Saccharomyces cerevisiae S288C: one gene and its partners. The main gene of each other region encodes a partner of the protein of the gene in region 2 in a complex. Each region holds a gene or a part of one and is shown on either strand. Other genes may lie near its edges.

Region 1 (5,487 bases), on a different chromosome or scaffold from region 2:
ATACCATTAATAATCATTTCTATCTCTTCCAACGGTAATATCTTAATTGTTTCTTCTGCTACTAGTGGGGGACCTGCTTTCTCACCAGAAGTTTGTAAATTTGTTTCATTGTTATTCATAATTGCGTTTGTATTCATCTCAGATGAGCCATCTGCACTCTTTGTCATATCCTGGGATAGACTAGCATTGGAATTAAAGTTCGAAGATTGAGGGGTTATGTGGGAAGCATCGTTTGGCGCTGAAAAGGGAGAATTATTCATCGATACGGTGTTATTGTGGCCGGAACTTGTTTCTGCATTGTGGGCATTTGATAAAGACGCTGATAAAGTAGAACTCCCCCTCCTGCTCTTGCTCGGATTTCTAGGCACATGTAAATATGCACTATTGCCCAAGCTATTTAAGCTGCTGCGCCTTGAGCTCTTACTGGAACTATATTTTTTCATCGGATGACTGTGCTTTCTGAGATGACTGTCTCTTAAAGGTCTACCGAAGTTTTGAGGAAACCAGCCTCTGTTAACTTTCCCATTACTGTCGTCAATAACTAATCCATCCCACCACCCAGATGAGTTTTTGTTAAGTATATAAATGGTTTCCCCTTGTTGTACAGACAAAAGTTGCGAAGAACTGTCTTTTTTAATGGGATAATTAAAGTCATAAGCAGCGACTACTATTCCAATTGGACGAATGCTGGTCAACTCACTTGTCGAGGGGGAAGAAGAAAGAGAAGCTGAGGATGATTCTGTGTTAGTGGTAGTGGAAGTGTTAGATGAAGAGCTGATCGATGGAGTTTGTGAAGCATTGCCTGCCTCCCTTGCAGAACTTGTATTGGGAATAGACGTGTTAGTATCGGACATGATACAACTATCCAATATCCACCTTGCTTTTTCGTTTTATTTTTTAGTATTTATTCGAAGAAAAATGTGGCTCTTTTTATTCAATTTCTTTCCGAAAAAGAAACAGTCTATCTAACTAAAGGAATTGCTTCACGGTGATCAAGTCACTATAACTGTCTCCGCCGTGTTGGTGATGCAGTTTTCTCTGTAACTTTTGAGCTTATTTTTCTATTTTATTTTTTCCTCCAGGTCTCTGTCAAAGATCCGTCTCCCGCGATGTTTAAAAGTCGTTTTAGCGAATTACATAATAACCTGGAGGTGACTGACGTCGACTATTTTCTGCCCCATAAAGCAACAAAATATTTAACTCATAAAAGCTTCGAAGAATATGTAAATATAGTAGTATGAATCTAACTGAGTAAAAAAAGGGAATAACAAAACAAAAAAAAAGGAAAAGAGATGGATAGCATACGTTATGAAAGTAATAAAACCTTAGAGATAGAGATAGAGAGAGAGAGAGAGAGAGATGCACCTTTTCTATTCTCAATAAAAAAAGGAAAGTAAGTGTAAAAAAATTTAAAGGAGGGATATATGACACTCCTACTAAGCAGTCGTTTTTTTTTTCTTTTGTTAATTTCATTCTTCATGCTGGGTTTTGGATGATCTAGTGTTTGCACTTAAAATAATTTTTTTTCCTGCATTCTGACATCGCTTTATACATCCTCGAATGCTGTAATTTCAATCCGAACCGTTTCAGCTGCTTTACAAACCAGTTGGTATCTTTGCGAACCTTAAACTGAAAAACTCGGAATGGTTTCATTGACTTGAAACGAAGCTTGCGCAACTGCAATCTGGATCCCGACCAACATTGTTTTGCTTTTTGGCAAGAATGATCGAAATACCTTTTAATATGTGGAGAAAATTGCCTGTATTTATTATGAAGTAGCACAAAGAGCCTTTTCCAGCGGCGTTTCTGTTCTTTATGCAATACCCTTAAACTTTCTTGAGCGGATTTAAAAGAATTCTTGAGAAATAGGTGTAACTTTATTCTTCCTCCGTTTATTTTGTTAATTCTCTTGTGCCAACCGTCTTTCATTCGAGCTTTTGTTGTATACCATAAAATAACTAAGTCTGTTTTGTATCGTCTCCAGCCCATTAGGTCATCATCCTTTAATGGGTATGCAATATGATTGTCGAAGTCGACGTAGTATTTTCCTGAAGGAGCCCACTGACTTAAAGAGTCACTTGATGAATCGTAAGATTTTTTATCAACAAAATCGATATTGCCGTACAACAGCTTCCTTTCATTATTACGTAATGACTGTTGTGATTTAAAACCTGCCAACACATCACCAGTCAGGGAATATTCGAGGGCGAGGTATGAAAAGGTCATGGAAAGCAATGAAGATAGCATGATAACATGCCACATCTTCAATTTAGCAGATTTACCCTCACTTTTATCTATGATATGATCCGATAGTGTGCTAGAATTCCTTATCGTACTATCCTTCAGTTTCGACCCCTCCATACTTGGCAATACCGTTCCGCCAACATTTGAGCCGGACAAAGTATCAAATGACTCTGAAATAGTGGGAACTCCAGTTTGATCAATATTAACTCCAGCATTACTAAATTCATTAGATGTTCTAAAATCGTAAATACGATTCATCTGTGCAGACTCTTCACTGCTAGTGTTCGATAGGACATCTGCATCGAAGTCCTCGTCGTCCTCTCCTGCAAAGGAGCTTTCATGCAAACTATCCAAAGATATTTCTGACTTCGATGACTGTTCTTCCCCTTCTCTCCCTTTACGTAATCTACGTAATCTAACTAAATTCCAATGATCGTCTTCTTCTGACATTTTAGGTCCGACAACTCGACTGTTTTACTAGTCTCTATTATCGTCACTGCGTATTACTCTGCTACTGTGCTTGTTACTTTATACCGGAACAGTAGCTCCTAAACGATTATTCCAAATGAAGAAAAACGTTTGGCCAGTAACCTGCATAAAACTGAATAACTATAATGATACTCCGACTAATAATATATCCCAATGCCCCATCTCATCTGTGTAGATCAATTTTTATGGCTCGATCCAGGTACCTTGATAAGCAGCTGTCGCGCAAAGGGGTTACCGCAAAATGGATAGATGGACCGGGGGCACACCGGGGTAGGGGGTCCGGAGGGTTAACTGTCAACTCCACCCATACAAGACCGCGCAGAAATCGTCGCAGGACCCCGCCGAACGGCGAAAGCAAATATGCAGCCGTAAAGACCTAACAATAAACCTAATGTAGTCATAGGGCTAATTGATTTTAAATATATGACCTAGCTGACTATTCAAGTTTGCCCTAATTGATGAGTTTTTGAAAAAAAAAACAACTTAGGTTTCGCTATCCAAGCTTATGCTATGGGAAGCGTTGGAAAACTTGCATATAGTATGAACAAGAGCGAGATATAAAACTATAACGGTAGATGGAAAGTAAAGAGTAGACAAGCTCGGAAACATGGAAAATAGCATGATGTTTATATCGCGTTCCTTGCGGAGACCCGTTACTGCTTTGAACTGCAATTTACAAAGCGTTAGAACAGTCATATACCTTCATAAGGGTCCGAGAATTAATGGTTTGAGACGAGATCCAGAGTCGTACTTGAGAAATCCTAGCGGGGTACTCTTTACTGAAGTTAACGCAAAAGAGTGTCAAGACAAAGTTAGATCCATACTACAATTGCCCAAGTACGGAATAAATTTATCAAACGAACTGATTTTGCAGTGTTTAACACATAAGTCGTTCGCACACGGGTCAAAGCCATACAACGAAAAACTGAATCTGCTAGGAGCACAGTTTTTGAAACTACAGACGTGCATTCATTCGTTAAAGAATGGTTCGCCGGCCGAGAGTTGCGAGAACGGGCAACTTTCTTTGCAGTTCAGCAATCTGGGAACAAAATTCGCTAAGGAATTAACGTCCAAAAACACAGCATGCACATTCGTTAAATTACATAATCTAGACCCTTTCATATTTTGGAAGATGAGAGACCCAATAAAAGATGGCCACATAAATGGTGAAACCACGATTTTTGCTAGTGTCTTGAACGCATTTATTGGTGCAATTCTGTCAACGAATGGATCTGAAAAAGCAGCTAAATTTATCCAAGGAAGTTTGCTGGATAAAGAAGATCTTCATTCCTTGGTTAACATTGCTAATGAAAATGTAGCATCTGCAAAGGCAAAAATATCCGACAAGGAAAATAAAGCATTTCTGTGAAGATACAAAAAATATAGTTGATGGTTCACTGGCCAAAAATGTATAAAAGAAAAATTTATCTGTAAATAGTGATCGAAATAAAATAAGATAATAACTAAAGAATATATATGACTTTACTGTACAGATCTATAATTGAAAAATGACGAGAGGTCCTGTGAAAGAGTCTGCCTGTTCGCCATCTTCACACATTCAACCAATTCCCTGGTGCGCTTGGTTACTTCCATCAGGATATCTGCTAATTTTTGATAGAATCGTTTCTTCCCAAGCTTTGTGGAATCGCATCCATAAGTACACAATTCCGATAACTTTTGCGAGCAATCTGTGAGCCTTTCAATAATTTCTTTACAGTGCTCGCCTAAATCCAGTTTAAAACTTTTTTGGACCATTGCTTTGGTAGTCATATCAATCACCGATTCCAAAATAGGAATAATCTCGATGGAATTTTGACATAATCTCGAAACTGATCTTGCGGACTTGAACAATTTTGATTTAGAGGCTTGAACATCATTCAAAATGCCCTGCCTGCCATAGGAAGAACAACCATTGATTTACTCTCAACAAATTCGACGAGGTTATTTATGTTAGCGTTGTGCGTGGTTGAGTTGACATCAGAATTATTCAAGTTTTCTTCTGAAGTAGATATTCTTAATCCAAGACCAGAGTTGGGAGCAAATTTCTGCACTTTCTCTCTGAATTTCCTCATTTTGGTCACGGTTGGCGAGTAAAGTACGTCTGCAGCTGGCGGAATATTTGCATACGGCTTCGCCGTTTCTGCCACTGGTTTAGTGATAACTTTCTTCGGAGGTGATGCCTGATAATCCTGCCGAAATTTACCAATTAGCGGCAATGTGTTACCTTGAGGACTTGGACTTCTCGAGTTCGAGACAACTTTCAGAGGCAAACCTTCTCGCGGAGATGGCTCACTCGTAATTCTTGAAGAATTCTTAGTGTTTTTTAACGGCGACACAGACGCTAAGTTTGTTTCTCCAGATGTATTATTTCGTACCTTCCCACTCTCTCGAATAGAAGATTCAGATTTTTCTATGATGGAAATTGATGGCGATGCTACAACCACTGGCATGTCCGATTTTTTTGTAATGGGCTTACCAGAGGATGGAAAACTAACAGCAGTACTACCGCTATCACCCAGAGATGATATATCCTTACCGTTTTTCTCATTTTTCACTTTTTCAATAATCTTCAACGGTTTCATACCTGCCTCGATATCACTGAGTTCTCCTTCATTGCGTGATATATCATCACGTGAGGTGGATTTGATCTTCACAATCTGAGCAATATTGCAGAACGCAAAAATCACTTCCGAAATAGATGATTGAGCTACAATTCGTGGTATTAGGTCCCCATATGTGAGAAAATATCTTGTT
Region 2 (5,913 bases):
ATCTATACCCAGCATTTCTATCTTGTCAGAACTCTTTTCTCTTATACCTGCCGTATCACAGATAATAACCTTATAGCCATTCACGTTTATCATTGCATCAATAGAATCCCTAGTAGTGCCAGGTATATCACTGACAATTGATATATCATCGTTAGTCAAGCTGTTAACTAATGATGACTTACCGACATTGGGAGCACCAAGTAATACCAGCTTTATTCCATTTTGCAGTATGGTAGACTTTTCGACTTTTTGCATGAAAGTAACGATTTGGTCTCGCAGACATATGATGTTCTTTTCTACATTATGGAAAATCTCATCCGTATTCTGAATTTCTTGGCTATTATCGTCGGCAAAATCTATTATAGCAGTCAACTGTGCCATATTCTCGATAATGGTTTCCCTCCAGTTCTCAAATAGGATTTTGTTATCCCCATTGAAACTTGACAAGGCAGATCTCCTTTGAGATTCTGTTTCCGAATCAATAAGATCTTTGATACCTTCAAGTTGGGTAAGGTCAAACTTTCCATTTTGAAACGCCCTCCTGGAGAAGTCGCCAGGCAAGGCAAATCTTATATCTTTACCACTGCTTCTATCGTGTAACGAGCCGATAGCTTTCAGTATACTATTAACTACGGCTTTCCCGCCGTGAACGTGCAGCTCTAACACATCCTCACCAGTAAATGAATAAGGAGCTTGGAAATATAGCAACAACGATGTGTCTAATAATATTTTACTTTCCTTTTGATCATGAGGTTTCACACTACAAGAGGACGGCGAATAAATGTTCCTCAAAATAGCCTTCCTGATCGGCGGAACTGTACTTGAATCAACTAGTCGATTGTAAATGTACTTAGCATGGGTACCAGATATTCTTATGATTGCTATCGCAGAGGTTTGATTTGCTGGTGTAGATAATGCATATATGGTTGGTTGCTGGAAGGTATAAGGCTTTGCAAGTCCGGAGTACCTCTTTAACGACCTTCTTACGAGAAAGGATCTCGAAATAAGCCGTGATTGTAAGAAAGATGCACTATTCATAAATAGAATACTTATTAACCATATATAACATTCTCTAAGTAGATAGCAGTCGTATGGAATATTGCTGTATCTTCATGTAACCTCGTAAAAGACGTTATATATGGGTTAGTTAGCCAAAAAAATAAAAAATGGACGAGTCCGGAATCGAACCGGAGACCTCTCCCATGCTAAGGGAGCGCGCTACCGACTACGCCACACGCCCGATTTGTATTGAAGACTTTGAAGAAGTATAGAAAACATAAATGTAGGATACATTTTTAAACTTTTATTAATGAAACCAATTTGAAGACATGTGGCAACCCGTGTTACTCATATATATATATATATATATATACAACTATCAGAAGATTATCAATCTAATAGATCTTTAACGCCGCCTCAGTACTTTCTGAACTGCAAGTAGAATATTTTTTTCTGGAATCGGCACATTCACATTCAGACGTATACGATGTCAGCACTTAGATTGCTACTATAGCAACTCATTTATTATTAATCCCCATTCGTTCCGATATGGATGGCATATTATTACCTTTAAGAAAGGTGGAGTTCCAAAGATTCATCAATTTTACTGTTTATAGAAAACGTTACGGAAAGATGAAAAGTAAACACCAAGGTCTCTTATGCCTTGACATAAAGAATACGGAATAGAATGATTGTAGACGCAACAAGATGAATAATTAATGGCAAATTATTATCCTATTAGATATAAATTACAGTCGCTTTAATGCGTGATTATAGAAAAGGTCCTTACAATATGCAGCCGGGTAAAGAGTGAAGTTTCCCGCCTCTGAAAAAGAGCAATACTAAAATAATCTGAAAAGAATTGGTGAAAAGAAAGCTGTAGTTATATATACAGAATGGGCATAGTTTTGAAAAGAGCAATAGCAGCAGGTATGAAACCTTTTCCAAACAGTACGTGGCATTGGAGCCGAACCATAAGACCTTTCTCACAGCATTTGTCTAGCACATGCTTTCTGCAGCAATCCTCGAGATTTACTTCAAAACGATACCTACACCTTTCAACATTAACACAACAAGAAAAGCGCTTCCTACCCGAATCTGAACTTGCTAAATATAAGGAATACTACCAGGGTTTGAAGAGCACTGTAAATGAAATACCTGAATCAGTGGCCTCTAAGTCACCTTCGTTAAGAACGCTTCATAAGAGATTACAATTACCTAATGAGTTGACCTATTCAACACTTTCCAGATGCTTAACGTGTCCCTCTGCAAAACTACCCGACAAGATAAATAATCCTACAAAAGGTGCAGCTTTCGTTAATACTGTACCTACTAATAAATACTTGGACAACCACGGTTTAAACATCATGGGAAAGAACTTGCTCTCTTACCACGTTACAAAATCCATTATACAGAAATATCCGAGACTACCCACTGTGGTTTTGAATGCTGCGGTTAACGCATATATATCAGAGGCGGTACTGGCGCACATTGCTAAATACTGGGGTATTGAAGTAGAAACTACGTCTGTTTTATCACGCTATTTGAAAATGGAACCATTCGAATTCACTTTGGGAAGACTCAAATTCTTTAATAATTCATTGAACTCTAAGGACGGTATTGAGCTAATCACCGGAAAGAACTTTTCAGAAACAAGCGCTCTTGCAATGAGCGTGAGGAGTATAATAGCTGCCATCTGGGCAGTAACGGAGCAAAAAGATTCTCAAGCTGTTTACAGATTTATTGATGATCATATAATGAGCAGGAAATTGGATATCACGAAAATGTTCCAGTTTGAACAACCTACAAGAGAATTGGCTATGCTATGTCGTAGAGAGGGGCTGGAGAAACCTGTATCGAAACTGGTCGCTGAGTCTGGTAGACTATCGAAATCACCTGTCTTTATTGTGCATGTATTTTCAGGCGAAGAGACATTAGGTGAAGGTTATGGTTCCTCATTAAAGGAGGCAAAAGCAAGAGCCGCTACTGATGCTTTGATGAAATGGTATTGCTACGAGCCTCTTGCTCAACAGGAACCAGTTATTGATCCTGGCACTGTTGTTGTTTAGTTCTGTGTTTGCCATTTTGTAGATAGAGAACTCCTTAACCAGAATACATTCTTGTACATATATATATACACGTTGGTACGATATGCGTTTACTTTATGTGTACTAAAATATATAAAAGTGAACAGAAGCATGTTCCTTGTTTACTACTATATCTTACCAGGAAACAGACAAAAAAAAAAAAGACTTGCTATATTTAAAGAGAACGCACATTTGTGAGGGGATAATAACACAAAGCAAAGTAATATAGGGTAAATGGACCTCCTAAAATTCAGTTCTCTAGCTATATCAGAAATTAACTTCCTGCACGAGTCATCGTTTGACTCGATAGACCACTCTTGGTTTTTATTGATAGGTTGCAAATTGGATCAAGATGATGAAATTTACATCCCAATAAATGGTAATGAAGCAGAGTCTCAATGGTATATTGAAAAAGTTATACGAATCCCGATGCAGGAAAATGATAAAATAAATCAAGAACGCCTAGAAAGGAGAATTAACCTAACAAAAGTGACTCAAAAGGACATTTGTATACTGGGTATTCTTGATTTATGTCAGTTAGAAGAGGACGAAAATATCACTAATAAAGTGACGGAGAAAGTGCTCACCCAATTGACCGCCTTGGCATTGAAATATCTGATAAAATATAACGTGTTTCGCCAACATACCTCCTTCCAAGAAGCTGTCAATAGTTTAAAGGGTTATAAAATTGAAAATAGTGTACAGATAGGCGCGGAAATTATCCTTGATTTTCTACAAGATAAAGTGCAAATTAAGGATGTAAATGACAGATACCAAATTCCCACACCTAATAATACCGTAGACCCAGGTTTTGATGAGTTTCAATTAATTGACATGAAGGATAAAGAAATCAATATTCAAAAATATAATAATAATACCATAAGAAAATTACTCGAGAAGATTAATCGAATGATAATATTCTTGAAAAATTATGATGCCACTGACAAGCCTTTCTCTTCCACGCAAGATGTAATACTTCGAAAAATATCAATGCTTGTAACACAACTGCAAAGAGGTGGAACAAGTGACATGAATTACCTGCTGGATAACAAAATTAATGAAATAAAATTATTAGAAATTTCGTGTAAACAATGGGAAATTTCAAATATGTTAAAAAAATAACTAGAATATATATATTACACAGAATTATTTTCTTCACTTCCTCCGTCATCAGATTAGTAGCTTCCTAATACCTGTCACAACTTCCCATTTATTCGTGTGTTTGTTGTATGTACAACCCAGCAGCTTTTTATTGGTAACGGGACAATGGCCTTCATTATTAACCAAATAGCTTATGGCACACGGGTAGCATGCCACGTATCCTGTTTCCAATACACAGGGGTTTTGTACAGTTTTTTCGCAAACGGGACAGGCCTCAGAAACTCCCTCTTTATCTTCCGTTTTGTCACTATGTGAGGAGAAAGGCGGCCTTGGAATATCTTCATCCAAGTCATTGACCCTTTTCTGCAATTTAGTAGTCATGTCTTGTGTGGTCCACCATTGGTACACTCTTAGGACAAATATAAAAGTGGGGAAGAATTGCGAACCCATAAATGTTAAAAATCTGGGTATAATCGATAATTGTCCTTGCATTAGCGCGAAAATTGACGATATATTTGTTTTCCTTAGCCTATTATCCATCCCTTTCGTCTCTTTGAGACCAGAGAGTTCTGACGATAGTGGTCTTACCGTTGTGTACTCTATCTTGAATAAGTATTGCAACAAGGAAACCGACCCTGTTCTTTTAGTTAAAAATAATAATTTAACGAGTAAATTGGATAACGCTAATAATTTCTTAATAAATGGATAAATTCTTAGAAACGCTCTCTTGGGCCATTTATTTTCAGTTTCATCGCTGCTGAATATATTATTCATTGATATTTTCTCTAATATTTCATCCAACTTCGCTGTGATATAGGGGAGAATAATTTTTTCCAAAAAAATAACACTCTTTTGCTGTTGATTCAGCTGCAAACCTTGGGGCCATTCACTCTGGCCCTTTGGATTTAAACATTGTGTTAAGGCAAGATTTCTGTCCCTCGAACTAAATAGTTGCAATCCATAAAACCGATCAATAAACGTAGAATTGTATGTCTTTAGATGATACCATTCAACAAACCCTTTTATCGCTTGAAACCACTCAAAAAAGTACTTGTTCAGCCGCAAAGTATACCTGTTAGGGAAGTTCGCCACTAAATGATTTGCCAGTAGATAACGGATGGATGCGGGCAGTAACGAATCGATTTCTTGTGATGACATTATCTCAAAGATAGTCGGATACAATGGTTCTAATCCCACCCCATTTCGACCGCTTGTTGAAGACCCTCGACTAGATTGTCCTGCAGACGGTAGGTTTGAATAAAAGCTCATCACTTGACGACTACCTTCCTTTCCTTTGCTTTATTTTCCCTGCTTATTCCCTTGCTTCTTCTGGAGCCTTCATGCAAAACCGTTTCTCTACCTAATGTGATTCTGCGGTAAGCATTGCTCTTAAGCATCTGAATGAGACGAAAGGATGACTCCACACTAAATTGTACCTCTCTTCTCCAGTGACTGAATTGGAGGTTACCATTGCCAGTGACGGTAATCGTCCACATCGATGATTTCTTAGTATAACCCACACACCTCTCAGACATAGAGGCCCCAGGTGCAACGTGATAGTATAACTGCCCGGAAGTAGAAATACAACTATTCCCTTCATATTAAAAGAATAAAACTTCATTTGAACTCTTTAAAATTTAGTGGTTCATTGTGGTCCTTGTGTAAACGGAAAAAAAGGATATTACGGTAGTGGGTAGTACATAACAAGAGATGACTATCCCTGGAA
Region 3 (5,171 bases), on a different chromosome or scaffold from region 2:
TAAAAGTTTACAAAATTATTTGCAAGAAAAAAATCTAAAACCGGCTGAGTGTATCGGCGAGCAAGCACCTACTTTTCAAGATAATTATGGCCATCCTGTTGGTCTCGTTGGCGCTGGAGCTTACGGTGAAGTTAAGCTGTGTGCCAGACTACGGAATGAAAAGGACTCCCCCCCATTTGAAACATATCATGATAGCAAATACATATACTATGCTGTGAAAGAATTGAAACCCAAACCAGACAGTGATTTAGAGAAGTTCTGTACAAAGATCACCTCTGAGTTTATTATTGGGCATTCCTTGAGCCACTACCACAAAAATGGTAAAAAACCAGCCCCCAATATTCTAAACGTATTTGATATTCTAGAAGACAGTTCTTCGTTTATTGAAGTAATGGAATTTTGCCCTGCTGGTGACCTTTATGGTATGCTGGTCGGTAAGTCGAAATTAAAGGGCCGATTACATCCGTTAGAAGCCGATTGTTTCATGAAGCAACTGCTTCATGGTGTTAAGTTCATGCATGATCATGGTATCGCTCATTGTGATTTAAAACCTGAAAATATTCTCTTTTATCCGCATGGTCTATTGAAAATATGTGACTTCGGTACAAGTTCTGTATTTCAAACCGCTTGGGAAAGGAGGGTTCATGCTCAAAAGGGTATAATTGGATCAGAGCCTTACGTAGCTCCAGAAGAGTTTGTTGATGGGGAGTATTACGATCCAAGACTGATTGACTGTTGGAGTTGTGGCGTTGTTTATATAACAATGATATTGGGGCATTATCTTTGGAAAGTAGCTTCGAGAGAAAAAGATATGTCTTATGATGAATTTTACAAGGAAATGCAGCGTAAAAACCAGTTTAGGGTATTCGAAGAATTAAAGCACGTAAACTCAGAGTTGGCCACAAATAGAAAAATCGCATTATATCGCATCTTTCAATGGGAACCAAGAAAAAGGATTTCTGTTGGCAAACTTTTAGATATGCAGTGGATGAAAAGTACGAATTGCTGCCTAATATATGATTCCACATAAATATCTTGTATACAATATTCACGGCATGCAATTATAGAATAAGACAAGAAAAAGAATACAACTCCAATGAGTAGAACGTCAGCAGCACGTTCATGCGTTTTCAAAGTTAAAGTCATACATTAAAATTTAAGCAATATATACAGGTGGTTAATTAAATAATGACGACAAAGCTCTTTTGCTGGTTTACAGTCCCTTGATTATAACGTTAATGAATGGAAAATGGGGGTACTTTTATTCTTATATGACCCTACTTGCCAAAGAGCATATCTTATTGTATCCCTTGTCTTTCAGTGTTCTATCTACACAACCATCATTAGCCATAATTCTTGTCCCCAGAGGTTCACCGGTATTTTTATTAATCAAAACGCAAGCAGTATCTCCGAATGCAACGGTGGAGCCATCCTTTCTGCACATGTTACGCTGTTTAGACCTTACGACAATTGCGTGACAAATATCACCTTTTTTGACACGGTTGGTGTTGGCTGTCCCCGTAATGTTTTGAGTCAAGGGCTTTGCTTTCTGTATAACACAGACTATTCTGTCTCCAACCATTGCAGGACTCTTGGGGGACCCTTTCCTTATTACTTTAATACATTCTGCTAATTGTGCACCTGAATTGTCGATTACCTTGATGACAGATTTTAGAAATATCATGTTGTGATGTTAGAAAATATGGCTTATCCAGATCTCAAAGGGTTGACGACACACCGTTCTACAAATCCGCTATGCCAATATCCACGCTTCACAATTTATCCGAACTCTTCTATAGGTCCCTTTTCTTCCATCCGTCATTTAGCAACATGATTTAAGGCTGTTCAAAAAAATATTCTGAGTTTTCGCACGTTGCACGAGTCGCAATGAATAGCGCCAAATAAGTGATAGAGGCATCAAATATGCGATAAAAATACTTATTTACATATTTCGTAATAGTAATTATGAAGTTCGTTATAATTTATAAAATGGGAGAAAAAAAAGTAAGCACAATGTATGTATTTTTTCAATGCAATCAATATCATTAATCATAAGTCATGAGCCATTATTATCGTGAATGGCCTCGCTTAGGTTCATTTCGTTTTGAAGGACTTCTTCAATCCTTTTCAATTTCCACCTCTTATCCAAGTCAATCGTCAAACATCCAATGACTGTGTCATACAAGCCTTGACCAATCGTTCCTTCATTTTTTTTCCTGTCAAATTTACAGACCTGAGCTAAAGAAAATCGGTCAAATTCGCCTACTTTAATCAGAGAGCGTAACCTAGGTTCGAACTCATGATTAAAGGGTAATTTTCCTACTAACATTGTATATAGCATTACTCCCAAGGCCCAAATATCGGATGCTGGTCCTAAAGGAGAAACAATACATGGAAAATCAGTCGATGAACCAGACGGTGAACTTGTAGTTACACCGGAATTCGTGACTGCGGACGCCTTTGTAGAGGATGATAGAGAAGATAAATTAGAGGAAGATGATGATGCTGCGCTAATTTCCGATTGAGAGGAGTCTGGTGAATCATAAATATGCATTTCAACTGATTTTGAACGTCTTGCATCTGAGTATCTTAGAAGTTCTGGCGAAGCGTAAGGCAGAGATCCGATATATTTAGAAGGTTCGGGTTCCAGGTTTGAAAAATCGGTTGTCTTGTGCCTCCCATGAAAGGGACTCCGATGCTGTGGTTGAGGTTGAGAGGCTGGCTTGTGAAATAGATTAGAAGAAGAAGAAGAGGATGGTTGATTGAGATGCTTTAATGAATGTGAACTGGAGCTAACCATTCCTTTTGGTGTAAACGGTTGATGCTTTCGATTTTCAAATTGGTATTTTAAGTTTTCACTAGCGTCAAAATCATTAGTTCGGTCGTCAGGTAAAAAATTGGTTGTGGGATACTTTATCAAATTAGTTTGTTCAATACTTTTTCTCTTTCTATGGCTGTTGCCACTACTCAAGTTTTCATCAAAAGTATCGTTACGATAAACATGCTTCTCATCGAAGTGGCAACTCATTCCAAAATCGCATAGGAAAACCTTCCAATCCGATTTTTTACCTTCTTTTTGTAACAGACAGTTTTCTAATTTGATGTCACCATGAACAATCGTTTTGGAATGCATGTACTTTAATGCAGATAATAGTTGTAAGCTTAAAAAAATGGTCAATCTGCATCTCTCTGCAAATGGTATCTTCGAACGTTTGAATTCGTCCCAAGATATTACCAAGTCGTATAAGGTACCATCGTTAATTCTTTCCGTTAAACAATACATTGCATAGTTGTCATCAAGCTTCCAATCTAAAAGGGGGAGTATTCTGTTATGCTTCAAAGTCCTCCATATGGCTACTTCTCTCAGCACATGTTTCTTGATATTTTGGTGTCCTTTGAACTTCACAATTTTTATCACTCTACCAACACCAGTTTCAATATCAAAGCATTCCCGTATGATCCCCCATGCGCCGAAACCTATGATTTTACCCAACCGATGACCTAGTATTTCCATACCCTTATCGTCTGGTCTCGCACTGCCACCTGCGCTTCCACTCAATGGGTTCGAATTCATTTTAGCTATTGACGTCATCGAAGGTGAAAAAGAACTTAAAAATTGGGATGCAATGGAACCGTGCCTAGATCTTTGAAGTGGACGCGTATTTACGTAGGTGTCATTGCTATTATTGGGCGTGTTCCTACTATTGATGTTATCATCATTAGCCGTGGCCTGCGAAACTGAAGCATTATTGGCAAACCCAGCGAGAGAAAAGTTACTTCTAGAAGATGTTAACATAAACTTCTTAACTAGGGACATCATGGCCTTGTAGTCATGAGATGGTGCATGCTCGATAATCACCTTTTTCCTTTGAGTATACGGCAAGTTCAAAAAATTTCTGGGAAGCTTCTGAATCAAATCCATCATATCGTTGGGGCTTATTTGTAGCTCTGATAAGGTCGATAATGTAGTAGTCGGAAGAAAATTTAGTGACGAAGCATTTGAATCGAACGACGCAGGAACTGCAGAACTTTGAGTTGGAAGTGAATACTTTAACTTCGCAAAAGAGAATTTATTATTCTGTGTTATGCTATTGTTGTTGCTACTAGTTGTATATGAGGATCTCCTTTCCGCTTCTAAGTTGGACAGGGGTGTAAATATTTGCTGGCTGTTTCTGGGCAGAGGGATGGGTTTGACCTTAGAATGCAAATTTCTTGATAAAATAGAATCTTCTGGACTTAACGAATCACTGTTCTCTTGCGAAAAACTATCTCTTCGAAGTTTGTTTTGAGTCAATATTGCATCCGGTGAGCTCCAAAGTTCGTAGTTTCCCTTTCCACTGTCTTTGATTTGTACCTGCGGAGTGGCACTGCTTCTGAACTCATACAAATCCTCGGTGGACTTTTGCCACTCATTCACTAGCTTTGTAAAGTCTAAATCTGGAACGTACTCCGCCCCTATAGTGTATAAAGATTGATTGCCACACGGATCGCCCAGCTCTAGATCGTCGGTTCCGCCTTCAGGGTTTACTTGACTACTTGCGACATCGTCCGGCTGCGATCTTGTCTGCAGTTGTACTAAAGTAGATCGTGATGGGTGCTCATGTTCCATTTTGTAAATCTTCTTAGGCCTGAAATAGATTGTATCACTGCTATTGGCCCTGTTAAAAGCTGGTTCGTTAGCAGGTATATCAATTCCCATTAAGCCTCGTAGATCTCTTCCATAGCTGCGATTCGATGCTGGAGAGTCTGATATCGGCGACGCTGTACCAGAGGAATGTTGTGATGAACGTGATGATGACATCGGACTCCCATTTTGTCGAAGCTGTCGCTGCGACGTAAACATTCGTTCTTTTGGACCGTTTTGCTGAAAAGATTTCTTCGTTAGAGTAATAACAGCGCTTGCTGATTGCGTATCTTCTTACTTGCGTCCCCGATGACCCAAAGGGAACATAAGACCCTCCGTCCCCCATTGACTGTTGTTATTGAATTCAATTATCTAATCTGTTTCCCCCCACTCACAGGAAGAGCGCAACGCCATACACAAAGTTCCGGGACCTTTTCATTCCGGCCATTAATATTAGCGCCGGCGCTAGGGTTTTTGGGCAAAAACATAAGGTCTTTCCCTTTATTTTCCCGTCATCTTGGCAGGGTTACAAAAGCCTTTTAGGGCT
Region 4 (5,055 bases), on a different chromosome or scaffold from region 2:
TCCAAATTTTTTCCTTTTGCTATCTATGATAGCCTCCAAAGACGTCTTGTTTTGACTCATGTAAAAAATACTCGATGCCAACAAACTTGCGGTTAATAACCATCCAAGGATGGCAAACACTAACGTTGAAATTATATTTGCGTTTAAATTGGGGCTATAATTATGATTGTGTTGAGTAATAATTCTTATGTAAACGCAAATAGACACCCACATGATAAGTAAAAGTGTTGAAAAATAAGCAGCAAACTGCACAAAGAGTCTATAATTGTCTCTACCAATAACAGTCCCTATCCACATGCAGTAATGATCAAAGCGAGGAATGCAGTGGCCTAGTTCTGAAGAATGATGCGTTCGTTCCATTTTCAGACTTTGACATTCACTGCACCATATTGGGTATCCGTGAGGATCAGACTGATAACACTTAGGCGGAACCACAGCATCGTATTCCACTGAAGTGTTTTGAGAAGTGTTGCTAGTCTTCTCTTCAGAGGCTATAGGAAGGATCAAAAAAGGTGCTACGTGCGGTTGGGTACCTGGACCGACCAAGATAACTATTTGAAGCCATATGAAAATCACGACTACGTCTAGGAAGCATACCGCACAAATAAGACCAACCGAAACTGATTTCTGACGAAGTCGTTTGTCGACTTGCTCGTAACATAGTTTATGGCAGTAAGCCCACGTACCGTAGCACAGTAAACCGAGCACGATAATCGGTAAGATGAATCTAAACCATGACCTGCGCCTGATTCGAATATTCCATGATAGAGCCATTCATATACAACGGTTTAATTTCTGCCGTGTCGCGATGAAAGGACCTTAGCTAGGTTCTGAAAATATTACAACGGGCAGATATACGCCTAATTAGTTGTTTTGTTTGAGTGCTGTGTTTATGCTACTATTATTTAAAACGTAAATAGTGGAAAAAAAAATCGACTAAATGGTCCAAATCGGGCCGTTCGCTCGTAAATTTGTTCTTAAGCACTAATACTAAAGAGAGTATACAACAGAACAGACGCACAAGACAGCACTCATCATCAGCTAAGAAACTGAACTGCTTGTTAAAATTTGAGTTTGTTTCCTCTTAGGATTTGCAGCATTAGTGGGCCCCCGCACACAAGTAAATATAAGTGAAAGAAAAATGCTTATGGATGAGTATGAGGAAAACAAGGACATGTGTCCGATCTGTAAGACAGATCGATACCTTTCTCCGGATGTGAAATTTTTGGTGAATCCTGAATGCTATCACAGGATCTGTGAGTCGTGTGTTGATCGAATATTTAGTCTCGGTCCTGCCCAGTGTCCATATAAAGGGTGTGACAAGATTCTTAGAAAGAATAAGTTCAAGACCCAAATATTCGATGATGTGGAAGTTGAGAAAGAAGTTGACATCAGGAAGAGAGTGTTCAATGTGTTCAACAAAACTATCGATGACTTCAATGGTGACCTTGTGGAATATAACAAATATTTGGAAGAGGTGGAAGACATTATATACAAACTAGATCACGGGATCGATGTGGCTAAGACCGAGGAGAAACTACGCACCTACGAGGAATTAAACAAGCAACTGATTATGAATAACTTGGAGAGAAGCAGAACAGAGATAGAAAGTTTCGAACAGAGACAAAAATTCGAAAAGGAGATGAAATTGAAGAAGCGACTGTTGGAAAGACAAATCGAAGAGGAGGAAAGAATGAACAAAGAGTGGACAAAGAAAGAAATCGTCAACCGGTTGAGTACGACCACCCAGGATATCAATGAAACAATCGAAGGCGTTAAAAATACGGTTAAATTGAAAAAATCGTCCGCTAGAAGGAAATTGGAAGAACTAAATAGAGTTCTGAAAAACAATCCATATTTCAATTCAAATGTGAACGTACAGAATTCGAGACTCAAAGATGCTGTACCGTTCACGCCGTTTAACGGTGATAGAGAAGCACACCCAAGGTTTACGTTGAAAGGTTCAGTATACAATGACCCATTCATCAAAGATCTTGAGCACAGGAAAGAATTTATTGCGTCTGGGTTCAACACTAATTATGCGTACGAAAGGGTGTTGACAGAGGCATTTATGGGCTTAGGATGTGTTATATCCGAGGAGCTTTAAAACATCAGGATAGTGTGCAACGTGGCATAAGCTATGTAATCAACTACTTTTTATTTTCTATGTACGCATATACATGCATTCACGATCTGTTTCAGTGTTCAGAAAAAAGGCACCTACTGCTACGGTTGGCCCATACCTTTATTCTTTGTTCTTGTTACAAACGAGTGTGTAATTACCCAAAAAGGAAATTTACATGTTAAATGAAACCCAGTAATCAGAAAAAACAGTTAAGAAACCTAAAATGGTAGAGATAAAGATACAGATTCAGTGGTTGCTGAAAATCAAGTAAAAAAATGAAATAGAGTCTTCATATATAAACCGCCAGAAATGAATTAATGAGAGGGATCTGTAACTGTTTCTCGGATAAAACCAAAATAAGTACAAAGCCATCGAATAGAAATGCAACCATCTACCGCTACCGCCGCTCCAAAAGAAAAGACCAGCAGTGAAAAGAAGGACAACTATATTATCAAAGGTGTCTTCTGGGACCCAGCATGTGTTATTGCTTAGTTTCTGCGTACAAAAACGTTGTTCTCCCTCCTTTATCTTCCTTTTCCGCTACACCAATATATCATGTTTGTTCGTAATATTTCTTTTTAGACCTAATAATAAATATCCTAAGTAACTATATTATATAAAATATTTTGATACCCTGTACCTGCTTTTGTTATCGTTGTACATCCATGCACACGCTCATATATATATATATATATATATATATGTATATGTACATATACCGCTTACCACCTACCGTGAAGTATATGTAAGGGTCTTCGCACCCGGATATCCCTTGTGGGATCTTGGATGCGGATGGTGAGTGTAAACAGGCCTCATAAAGCTGTCTCTGTGTGCGGAAGATGTCGTTTCATCGGCTTCGACCTCCTCCTTATCTTGCTTCATTGTTTCTTCGTAAGAGGGCGGATCTACGGGCAGCGGGGTCGCTGTCTCCTTGTATGCATGCTTATTTATATCACTCTTTCCGCTATCCATCATAATCTGTTTTTGTTTATGTGCTTTGAATACTCAACACATAAAATAATATCCAGTTAATTGTCGTCTGTCCATTGACGCTTTGCCTTTGTCCCTTTAGACTGTCTTTATTGTGAAATATGCACGGCTGAGAATTACGTATACAGTGACTATCGTATGGGGCGACAAAAGTTCCCAGCGAGAAACAAGATGAAGCAGACTGGGGCCTGCCTGTATGGAGGGAAGCATAAGTTAATATACCTCCAGATATTTGCAGATTAGGATACTGAACTGACGAAGACCTACGCTACACAACGAAGATAACACATGCTGGCACAAACATTCAAAAAACCACACAGAGCCGTTCTAGAACAGGTATCTGGGACCACGGTCTTCATCAGAAATAAGAGAACAAAGAGCAAGAGCTCACTGTCACCTTTGGCACAAAGGGTCGTCACGCAGTTGAGTGTGATGTCTGCAAGCAGAAAGCAGCCCAAGTTGCTGAAGCTGGCGCGTGAAGACCTGATTAAACATCAGACCATTGAGAAGTGTTGGTCAATTTATCAGCAGCAACAACGGGAGCGCAGAAATTTACAGTTGGAATTACAATATAAGAGCATTGAGAGATCTATGAACCTTCTACAAGAACTCAGCCCTCGTCTGTTTGAGGCTGCCAATGCTTCCGAGAAGGGCAAGCGATTCCCGATGGAAATGAAGGTGCCCACTGACTTCCCCCCAAATACGTTATGGCATTATAACTTCCGAAAATGATAGCGTGAGCGAACGCTTGACTGTCTCCTGCTGTAAATAACTGATGATCAATAGAATGCCACGTATATATGGACTTATATAATTATATGTACATAGACATATAAAGGGCATGTGGTAATTATGACATGAACTGTATCACTATTGACGTTTTTTTTACTGCTTTTTCCCATCCCTGCAAGCGAAAAAAAAAGCAAGCTGACTCTTGTATAAACTGCAAGGACTCATTGATTAAAAGTAGATTTACATTACAGACTAAAGGAAAAGGCAAACTATACCGGCTATACCACATTCGTTCAAAAATGCCCTCTACCACGCTACTGTTTCCGCAGAAACATATTAGGGCCATTCCAGGCAAGATATACGCGTTCTTCAGAGAGCTCGTCAGCGGAGTTATTATATCCAAGCCAGATCTAAGTCATCATTATTCTTGTGAAAATGCGACAAAGGAGGAAGGCAAAGATGCAGCAGATGAAGAAAAGACTACCACAAGTTTGTTTCCCGAATCAAATAATATAGACCGTTCTTTAAATGGTGGCTGCTCTGTGATCCCTTGCTCCATGGATGTCAGCGATTTGAACACGCCAATATCGATCACACTATCTCCTGAGAATCGTATCAAATCAGAAGTAAATGCCAAGTCACTGCTCGGATCAAGGCCAGAACAAGATACAGGCGCCCCTATCAAAATGTCTACTGGTGTCACAAGCTCTCCATTAAGTCCATCAGGCTCCACCCCAGAACATTCCACCAAGGTCTTGAACAACGGCGAAGAGGAGTTCATTTGTCACTACTGTGACGCTACTTTCAGGATTAGAGGATATCTAACGAGACATATTAAGAAGCACGCCATCGAAAAGGCGTATCACTGTCCATTTTTTAACAGTGCCACTCCTCCTGATCTTAGATGCCACAATTCGGGTGGTTTTAGCAGACGCGATACTTATAAAACTCATTTGAAGGCAAGGCACGTGCTGTACCCCAAAGGTGTTAAACCACAAGACCGTAACAAGTCGTCCGGCCATTGCGCTCAATGTGGTGAATACTTTTCCACCATTGAAAATTTCGTTGAGAATCACATTGAGTCTGGGGACTGTAAAGCTTTACCGCAGGGGTATACCAAGAAAAATGAAAAAAGATCTGGAAAATTAAGGAAGATCAAGACATCTAATGGTCATTCTAGATTCATATCCACTTCGCAAAGTGTTGTA

Evidence for each region.
Region 1: MRPL3 (region 2) and MRPL15 share a complex: the UniProt entries of both Saccharomyces cerevisiae proteins name them as parts of the mitochondrial large ribosomal subunit.
Region 3: MRPL3 (region 2) and MRPL38 share a complex: the UniProt entries of both Saccharomyces cerevisiae proteins name them as parts of the mitochondrial large ribosomal subunit.
Region 4: MRPL3 (region 2) and MRPL28 share a complex: the UniProt entries of both Saccharomyces cerevisiae proteins name them as parts of the mitochondrial large ribosomal subunit.

Annotation. Positions count from the first base shown.
Region 1 is NC_001144.5:756,140-761,626, forward strand, and holds MRPL15 (mitochondrial 54S ribosomal protein mL57 MRPL15), read left to right. Parts: upstream 1-3,340; coding exon 3,341-4,102; downstream 4,103-5,487. Other genes in the region: Ras family guanine nucleotide exchange factor CDC25, read right to left, coding at 1-854; ATG39 (Atg39p), read right to left, coding at 1,498-2,694; SPH1 (Sph1p), read right to left, coding at 4,611-5,487. UniProt on the Saccharomyces cerevisiae protein: Component of the mitochondrial ribosome (mitoribosome), a dedicated translation machinery responsible for the synthesis of mitochondrial genome-encoded proteins, including at least some of the essential transmembrane subunits of the mitochondrial respiratory chain.
Region 2 is NC_001145.3:319,980-325,892, forward strand, and holds MRPL3 (mitochondrial 54S ribosomal protein mL44 MRPL3), read left to right. Parts: upstream 1-1,895; coding exon 1,896-3,068; downstream 3,069-5,913. Other genes in the region: MSS1 (Mss1p), read right to left, coding at 1-1,038; CSI1 (Csi1p), read left to right, coding at 3,321-4,208; PEX12 (ubiquitin-protein ligase peroxin 12), read right to left, coding at 4,257-5,456; YMR027W (putative methyltransferase), read left to right, coding at 5,898-5,913. UniProt on the Saccharomyces cerevisiae protein: Component of the mitochondrial ribosome (mitoribosome), a dedicated translation machinery responsible for the synthesis of mitochondrial genome-encoded proteins, including at least some of the essential transmembrane subunits of the mitochondrial respiratory chain.
Region 3 is NC_001143.9:127,147-132,317, reverse strand, and holds MRPL38 (mitochondrial 54S ribosomal protein uL14m MRPL38), read right to left. Parts: upstream 1,685-5,171; coding exon 1,268-1,684; downstream 1-1,267. Other genes in the region: putative serine/threonine protein kinase KKQ8, read left to right, coding at 1-1,030; protein kinase NNK1, read right to left, coding at 2,057-4,843. UniProt on the Saccharomyces cerevisiae protein: Component of the mitochondrial ribosome (mitoribosome), a dedicated translation machinery responsible for the synthesis of mitochondrial genome-encoded proteins, including at least some of the essential transmembrane subunits of the mitochondrial respiratory chain.
Region 4 is NC_001136.10:1,382,670-1,387,724, forward strand, and holds MRPL28 (mitochondrial 54S ribosomal protein mL40 MRPL28), read left to right. Parts: upstream 1-3,403; coding exon 3,404-3,847; downstream 3,848-5,055. Other genes in the region: palmitoyltransferase PFA5, read right to left, coding at 1-774; TFIIH/NER complex subunit TFB3, read left to right, coding at 1,142-2,107; MFA1 (mating pheromone a), read left to right, coding at 2,507-2,617; CMI8 (Cmi8p), read right to left, coding at 2,855-3,097; STP1 (Stp1p), read left to right, coding at 4,147-5,055. UniProt on the Saccharomyces cerevisiae protein: Component of the mitochondrial ribosome (mitoribosome), a dedicated translation machinery responsible for the synthesis of mitochondrial genome-encoded proteins, including at least some of the essential transmembrane subunits of the mitochondrial respiratory chain.